Linked DNA regions of Drosophila melanogaster. Changing the gene in region 1 together with any one later gene gives a genetic interaction. Each region holds a gene or a part of one and is shown on either strand. Other genes may lie near its edges.

What was found. A genetic interaction does not mean that the proteins touch.
Region 2: of nopo (region 1) and Cad99C, changing one suppresses a phenotype caused by changing the other (phenotypic suppression), as found in Drosophila melanogaster (one study listed by BioGRID).

The regions. Positions count from the first base shown.
Region 1 is NT_033778.4:18,178,787-18,183,034, forward strand, and holds nopo (no poles), read left to right. Parts: upstream 1-1,830; 5' UTR 1,831-1,935; coding exon 1,936-2,051; intron 2,052-2,110; coding exon 2,111-2,326; intron 2,327-2,384; coding exon 2,385-2,738; intron 2,739-2,798; coding exon 2,799-2,856; intron 2,857-2,911; coding exon 2,912-3,031; intron 3,032-3,087; coding exon 3,088-3,291; intron 3,292-3,353; coding exon 3,354-3,593; 3' UTR 3,594-3,733; downstream 3,734-4,248. Other genes in the region: CG5726 (uncharacterized protein), read right to left, coding at 685-1,046; CG5721 (uncharacterized protein), read right to left, coding at 3,755-4,248.
Region 2 is NT_033777.3:29,839,846-29,844,671, forward strand, and holds the start of Cad99C (cadherin 99C), read left to right. Parts: upstream 1-1,811; 5' UTR 1,812-1,945; intron 1,946-2,879; exon of another isoform or gene 2,880-3,028; intron 3,029-4,826. UniProt on the Drosophila melanogaster protein: Cadherin that functions in epithelial morphogenesis and the intestine epithelial immune response. Essential for female fertility. Regulates the length and organization of apical microvilli in developing follicle cells and salivary glands.

The DNA.
Region 1 (4,248 bases):
TCTCTCTGCCCGTCTTTATTTGTATGAAAAGTTGTAAATTTTCAAGACACGCTGACGTTCGAGCAACCTGGTCGCAAACAACGAACTCGTGCACGAACACATATACACAAATACAGTGCTTTTCAGATTTATAAATCGATTTTTAGACATTTAATAAAATTGAAATGTATATGTAGAAGGTCGCAAAAACTTTTTCGAACCTAAAAATAATGAAGTAAGAAGAAAAGTTTACAAAGTTGCACTTTAAGAACCCAAGGGTTCTTGAACGCGTAAAAACAAATTAACGTTTGAACTTGATTAGTAATTCGGTTTCTGCATTTCAAGCATTTCATTATTGGAATAACTTATAGAATGCTGTAACCTATGGGCGAACGCCACAAGCTCCCAAATTTAACGAATTACTCATGCTACTTGTAATGGAATGTCATAAATATTACAATAAGGATCGGTCTTCGCCAGGCAGATATGTACTGCATGCATTAAGTCTTGTTATCACATGGCTGGCTTTGATGGGCTTGGGAGCTCGCCTTGCCCATATGCTATCGCACCGCACTGTACCTACGCCGGGTATTTACATACATCCATATGTATATGCGAAAAGAGGTGGCAAATAAACACACTACTTATGATATGATTAATCATCAATGAGCGAACCAACCAAACGGTAGAGATCGGCACACATACCAAAGCATAGACTCGTCGCGCACTATGTTGCAGAAGTCCGTTTCGATGGTCTTGATCTTGGAGTTCAGCACAATGCCATCGTCCTGCAGATCAAGGTTCCTCATCAGGGCGATGATGTGGTCGTAGGCATAGCCACCTGTTTGATTTTGATAGGCGGCGGGGCCAGTGTTCAGGATGGTACAAACATCCCGGAGGCGCGCTCCCGTTCCCTCACCACCGCCCCCGCTACCGACACCACTGTGCGAACTGTGACCACTGTCCACCGCACTGTTGTTGTAGCTGTTGTTGCCGTAGGAGGTGGTGTTGCTGCTGCCACCGCCGCCACTGTTGCTGCTGCTGACCATGTTGTTGGCCATTTCCATTTCTCGCCGCGATCACTGCCGTTTGTTGTTGTTATCGCACGGTTGTTTGTCTGTCCCTTCCACACACACTTCAGTGTCTGTTATATTGGTACGCGCGTGTGTGTGAGTCGTCGGTCCACCAAATAAGAATCAGCGTTGACAAAGGTGTCGAAATGCGCACGCCAAATGAAACACCTTTTCGCTCAGCTTCCGCTTTGGGTGCAGGTGCAGTTAGCTCACTGGGACCCACGGTCGATTGAAACGCAAATAACGAACGAAATTAAATGCACAAATTTATAACTATTCCTATTTATTATTGCTATTTGACGACTTTTAAAAGAGGTGGAAAAACATCGATGTGTTGTGTTCTTTAAAACATCGATGTTTCTCCACCTCTAGATAGCATTGTCGCGATATCGAAAGCACACGGTGTGCTTTCGTAAATAGCGCCACAGTGCTCCCGCTGTTATCGATAAGACCACCATGGGGCTAAAGTACGGAGCATAAGTAGCTGGATTTAAGATGGATTGGCAGAATAAAATATGAAATTTATATCCACAGTATATCTTAAGAAGTAGGGTTTAAAAAGTATCCACACATACATATCTTTCTAAAATTTAGGATGAATTTTAGTTTCAGTGGCTGAGTAAGCGTATTTGTAAACATTATTTGTTGTTTCGACTTAAGCCAAGTTAGTTAGCAATTAGTTTGTCGTGGAAATATCTATCAGCTAACAGTTATTGTCTACAATCGATTCTTGACAAATACTGGTGTGGTGAATTCCGCTCATTGGAGCATCGTAAAATCGCCATCAGTCAGCTGTGTTTCGTTGGGCGCGCAAACTGTTCGGCGTGCGTTTATTTGTTGTTCTTTTGTAATAACTATTTTTATGTAGTTATTTGTGCCAAAAATGTTGAACTTAAACTGCGTGATATGCGCCGAATTGTTTGGCCAGGCCGACGAGGTTTTTGCCACAGTTTGTGGTCATATGTTCCACCACAACTGTCTAAATCAATGGCTCGATCGGTAAACAACGCATAAGGATATTTCTGATTCCCGACAATAAAATCAAATATCTTTCGCAGATCAAAGACCTGTCCTCAGTGCCGGAATAAGTGCACTACCCGCAACATATTTAGGGTCTATTTCAATCTGGCCAACTTGGATGTGAGCCACATCGATGTTGGTTCACTGCAGGAGCAGCTGGACAATGCGATGTTGTCCATGAAAATGGTCGAAAAAGAGCGCAACAAGGATGAACAGCAGATTCGGGATCTGAAGGAAACACAAAAGAAGTGCCTGTATGCTTTTGTATACACATTGCCTTAAGTACCAGACTGATGCATTTCTCATTTGCAGCAAAACCATAGCCGGTTTGGAGCAGAAGGTGCAAAAGAAGGATTTTCTCATCAGCAGCTATGTCGAGCAAATTGGCGTCCTCAAGAGTGATGCCCATGTCGTTGATGGGTTGCGCAAGGAAAACAAAACATTGAAATCACAGATCCAGAGTATGGAAGGCATATCGGCTATTCTGGCGGCTGGCTCGGCGGATGCCGACCGCTTGCTCAAGAACGAGGCTGATCCACATGTCCTAGCCAACTGGGTGTCCACTCTCAAGAGGGAGTTGCGACAATGCGAGAGCAAAAAGACGGAGCTCAGGAATGTAGTGAAGGTGGTGCAGAATGATCTGCGAAAGGAGATCGAACTAAAGCGGTATGCTCACAACATTCCAAACGTGGTTTTTATAATTGATATGTGCTCATTCGATTGCAGCAAGCTGGAAGAGCGTGTTTCACACCTGGAGAGCGACCTTTACCAGGCGCAGGAGAAGGTTTGCTGAGCCTTCTTTAACACAATTTCGATTAAACATACTATTATCTTTTCAGCTACAAGCTTTTGAGAACAAGACCGCTTACTTGGACTCACCAAATGCCTCTTGTGGTCTGAACAGCAACATTTTGGCCCTTAAAAGGGAGGAAAGGCGTACCACTATTTCCCCTACAGTTGTGAGTAGACACGAATAAACGAAAATATAAGCTACTAATATTTTGCTGCCCTACAGAAGGAGAATATTAAGCGCATCGAAGAATCCACCTCCCCATATCTCAACATTAAATCCAGCAGCGTCGGGTTGGCGCATCTTCTTAATACTAAGGGTAACATTGGGCTGGCCAAGTCTAAAATATCGCCCATCAAGGGAGTCGGTGGCGGTGTGTCTATGACCAGCGGAACCATACGGAAAACCAGCAGTGATCTCAGTGAAAAGGTAAACGCAATAATTTTGCCGAATTCCACTTAACCATTTAAAAATTCCGTATATTCCCCCAGTATTCAATCTTCAAGAAGCCAAGACTGCTGCTGGGAAGTTCAAGTAGTTCTGCGTTGACGGCCACGACGGGCTCAAATTTTGTCTACAATGGAATGGGCGGTTCTGAGAAGGTTGACCCCTTTGCGCAGCGCGCCGAGGAAGAGGGTCTTTCCACAATCAGATCCTCGACCGCCCTTTCCCGGAATGTCAACCAGCGTCTTAAAGCCGGCTCGCTGCGCAACTTTAACCTGGGCAAATAAGTCCACAGCCATGTGATCATAAGAGACTGCCCCAGTTGGGTATTAGCACGCGATTGGTATTGAGGATTGCCGATTTTGTTAGTTAGCCAATGCATGAATTAAGCAATAGTAATAATTTAGCAGTAAATATATAAAAATACAAAAGGCATATGTGTGTGCGATTAGGCGGCAATTTTTTTCTCCGCCGTGCCCGTCCATTCCTCGCGCAAGTGGACACTACAGCCGAGGTCGCGCAACGCCGCCTTGATGTCCTGCTCCACACTGGGGTGCTCCTTCATTGCCATATTTAGTAGATCCTCAACGCCGAAGGAGATCCAGGTTTCACACTGGTTCCGCGACCGTGACACCATATTGCGGATGGCCCACGCTCCGTTTCGCTGGACTATCTTGTGTTTGGGATGGGCGCGAAGAGCCTCCACGATTACTTCGGCGATGCCGGTATCGAAAAAGGCGGCACTGTGTTCCTGCACTCGGAGTGTCAGAGTAGTCACGCAGGCCAAAGCGGCGGCAACGATGTTTTCATTGGACTGGTGCGTCTCTAGCAATTGCTTTATTATAGGAGCCACGCCCTGCTGTACTATATGTGACTTCACGGAGTCTTGGCCAGCCAGGGCACGTAGCAACTTTAAGGCCTCTCTATTTAGACGCACCTCAT
Region 2 (4,826 bases), on another chromosome or scaffold:
TGCTATGCACCACAATTTATTTTGCCTATGCTGCACCTGTCGTTTGTGCAATCGAAAATTCTCAGGAAGGCAAAAATGATTTTAAACTGGCTCAACCAGCAATTCGAGCTTTTGCGCATGGTCAATGCGAAACCTTACAGTTTTGGCTGACACATTTCGCTTGATACCTTCATATCCGGTACTCATGGAGCATATCAGCATATAGCTTGCTACTACCAAAAACATTTTGCAGAATCACAAGCAAATCTGTCTTGGCTACAACTCCAGTAGCAGCGTGTAACTTTGGGTCACTGAACTACACTTTTGTTAAATGTCAGCATAAATGGCTAAAATGAAATACACCTTACAAGCTCCTCCTAACCAACTTGTTCATAATCCAAAAACTTCCTGTTAGAGTAGCGAATTCAAACAGTTGGCACTTTGTTTTTTCGAACTTGACATATGTAAGCCGATCGGCAAATTATCGCGAAAATGGGCCATTCGAATCGTAAAAGTGATGACCAAGCCGGAAGAGCACAGACATTATGGTAATCCAAGAACCCCCAATAAATGTAGCAAGAAACTGCCTCTTTATAATAACGAAAGAAGCTAAGCCTTAATTAAATCCCAACCCAGTGGGATGCGGATTTGGCCAGGTGAGGAGCTAACAGCCAACTGGCTTGTTAGCAAACAGTAAAACGAGCTAATGACGTACATCTGCTGAAAACCCTTGCACTTTCTCCTCCAGCCAGTTGTGATGAAGATGGCAGACTCCCATGCGTTTAGCACCATGAAGATACTCCGCTAATAGCCATTTAGCACATGGCTTAATCTTACCGTACAGTTTGTGTGCCATATGAATATGCTATGTTTGCTATAATTAGGTGCTTTGACATTTCGAGAAACAAGATCTGCGCAAATTATCATATTTGGCTGATCCCATCGATCTGAGCAGCTTTCAATGCCAATATAACGATATTGGCTCAATTGTTCTGGCAGCATCCGGCTGGAAATGGAAATGGTGGTATTCGATGGTGGTGTTCGATGGAAACACCTACCCATGATGGCAATGCCAATTTCGCGGATTGCCAGCCAGCCGGGTGCAACTGTCTCATTGTCCCAGTACAATGGCAACGGAATATGCATATGCGACGACTCCCTGCCCGCCTGACAGGTACAAAAATGCTGTCTGCCCCTTTGGTGAACTTCATTCATGCCCCGGATCGCAGCTCGGATTGCATTGCATTGCAGTGGATTGCAGTGGATTGCAGTGGAGTGGAGTGAGCGGCCAAAATCGCGGCAACATCGACTAAAACATTTTAATAAAAACTTACACAGCAACGGCTGCAGTGCAGCTGAAACAGAAAAGCAAACACAAAGCGAGCGACAAGCCGAGCCGAAGCCCCAAAACTGGTTCCTGGCCTGGCTGGCTAACTCTAAGCCCGATCCACGGCTCCAACTCCTATGAAAATGCAACATGGTGGTCTCTTACATATTTACCTTTGACTTAACAGACGCTGTTAGCCGCTCGAGATTCTCTGTCCGCGCAGCATACACATATACATATGTACATAGCTGTGTATGTACATGCACCTGCAGATCGTGGATCGCAGTACCTGTGCTCCACAGCCGAAGCCTTTCGCATGTGTGTGTGTGTGTGTGTGTGTGTGTTTGAGTATGGTGTGGTATCCATCAGCTGGCAAACGAGTAACCCCCGAAAAACCAGTTTTACCGCAAAGCGAGCGAATGCCAGCTCAATTCCAATACGTTCCACCTTGGATCGGGTAGCGCCCACTTGTTGCCGCTGCTGCGCGAGACAGGTAAAGCGAAACAGTACCGATCCAACCGCCGAGCCGACACCACGTACCACGTACTTTCGCGCAGTGTAGCACGACGAGTATGAGCTTGTGCCCCAACGCAGCGCTATTGCTATAAGGTGGCTGGCGCGATACCGGTTTTCGAGCTGGTATGAATATGCCCAAGAGCTAATTTTTTAAGAGTTATCTCTCAAGAAAATGTGTAAAGTTCAGAATGGTCCGTTTGTGGCGACGTGTGATGTGTGGATGTGTGAGGTGTGTCCGGTGGATCCAAGGCAACCTAAAGCTGTAGCCATAGAAGCCTGAAAAGGGCATACCACGCAGATATCTCGAAATAGCGCTCCGTTTAAATAACAAAGAAGCCCCGAGAGGCAAACAAAGCCTTCACGCCATCATTAAATCTAAAAATCATACCTTTGTACACACCACTTTAACCCCCGAGAGCAAGACTTTCTCTTGCCAATTTTTCAGTTTTTTTGTTTACCCAACACAACTCACAGTGGAGTGAAAACAGAAAACAAACGAAACCATCATCGTTTTGCCGAATATCAAAGGATAGAACACTAATGTGGAATGTGAACGTGATCGCCGTATTAAGCAAATCGCATTTATCGACCGGGATTTCTGCGGCATTTGCCAAGAACCAAGAAACAAGCAATAAAACAGCCAAAAAAAACAAAAAAAAAACGGCAAATGAGGTCACGTATGTCGAGATTTGTGTAAGAAACTTACACAGTCGTGTTCACTGTACAGGCATACGTAGATAGTCATCGACTTGCCATGCTACTTTTACTACATGCTACCAAACTCCCACGCGCCGCTTTGTTCGCCAGCTTTTCGCGAAACATTATGGCTTATAATTAATCCAAGAGGGCAACCTCCAAACAGTAATTAAAATTCACTTCAGTGCGGCAAAACTCACTTCCAAGCCGGTGATCCGGTGATCATCAACTTCGAAATGATCAACTTCGGATTCAATATGAATTTTATGACAGAGAAATACATAAAATAAGTATTACAACACCTTCAAATTTGTGTCGCGAGTGTTTTTAATCGAGTTTAACCCTGTTTTTTAATGCGCAGATACAACATCTATTGAATAATATAGTAAATCGAAATGTAATTGAGGACCAAGAATAACCTTTGTTAACGGCGTGTGACTCCATTTTTCACGTTGGATACTCAGCTGAAATACTTTGAGCTGCTTTAATATTTAATCTTTAGACCAAACGGTAAGTGCGGAGTATTATTAGTATTATTATTATTAAATTATTCAGCATCCAAAGGCGGGGAGAAGCAAAATGATGAAATAATGTTCTTTTCTCCGGGCGGCGGAGATTAATCTTCATTTGGCTAAATGGCTAGAAGCCATTTATAAAGCAGAAAACATAATCACCTAACCGTTTTTTCTTCAGCGGAAAGTCAGGTCGATTAATTTTATTGTCACCCAAGAATTTGCAGTTCAATGTCTTTGGCCATCATCTAAATTCAAAGATTTGTTTTTAATTATTCTAAACTCAACTTATTTTGGCCAATTAAGACAATCATAATGGTAGAATGTTTATGTTACTCAGCAGTTGCTTAAGTTTCGTTAGACGTGTTCTCGATAAAAAGGCGAATCATTAAAATTAATCATCAGGAAAAATGATTCTCAGCAAATTGGCTCTAAGATACTTGTCGAGTTCATTAGAACGATTAGAATGTTAAAGCACTTTGAGTCATTAAACTCGACAAATGGCCATTTTGAAGACGATCATATATTTACTCCCACAGGAGTCATAAATATATGGACAGCCAAAATGAATGGCATAGATTGAGATACTTTATATGCTGATAGAATTCGATATATATTATGAAACATCTCACGGATCCGTGAGGAGAAATACTTTGTATGGCCAAGAGCGCGTCCTCTGTCCAATAAAATTAAAATACAATAAAACACTCAGCGAATTAGCATAACAATCGCAGTTGGAGCTGACAGAACGATGGTGTATACATGAATGTATGTATCCAGGTGATCCAAGTGATCCGAGTGATCATCCAGGGGAGCCGAGTGGCCAGGTGGACCAGGGTATGCCGCCATTCGGTGCCCAAATGCTGGCGTTCCTTTCTTGTTTATTTAAGATTTGTGTGGCAACCATCGTTCGCATTCCAGCAGATTTGAGATTTAAGTTCGCTACGTATTGTACCACATTCAAAACTAGAAAATGTTGGCAAAAACAGCATCAATAAGCAACAGGTTTGCCGCATATCGAATCTGCACCCAGCAGCACACAACACACACAACACACACAACACACACAACACACACAGTACACAGGCATTCAAAGCGATACCTCGGCTTTCGTTTATTTTGCAAACCAGTTTGGCACATTCGGCTTTTTCTATAAGTTTCCGGTTGAACATAATCAGCAACTGACTTTCTGTGGTGGCCACCGCCGAACTCCTCCTCTGGCTGCTCCTGCTCCTCCTGCTCCTTCTCCGATCTCCTCCAGCTTCGCGCCTTTGTTTATGCGGGGGAAATGGAAAATGGCATTTTGTGTACCGTCCAGTGAAAGCGGAGGACTTGCAGCGCTTTTCGCGATTTTCCCGATTTTCTCGATTTCCTCGCAAATGGAAGCAGGAACGGCACGACGGAGCATTTAAGCCCCCATATCAATACCATGTGATATCTCGCACTTAAGTTACGCAATGGGCGATCGGGGCTTTTATGATTTCGGAGATAATTTCAGCAGCAGTTGCGTTTGCAGACAAGTTTGATTCCACTCGCGATTGCAGCACACTTTGGCGAAATTAAATAAATCGTTGGGAAATCATGGGTATTTTGATTGGTTTATTTGGCTAATTGCGTAAATCGAATTGCAATTGGCCATCGAAGACAATAGTTGTCAGTGGCGGCTAAGGATAAGAGATCCATCAGCTTGGATTTTAATTGTCAGCCAATAGTTGAAATTCAATAATTCGCTTTGTTCATTAGAGCGCGCACTTTATTCCCCTATTTTATGAGTTTCGGTTAACCAGCACAACGGA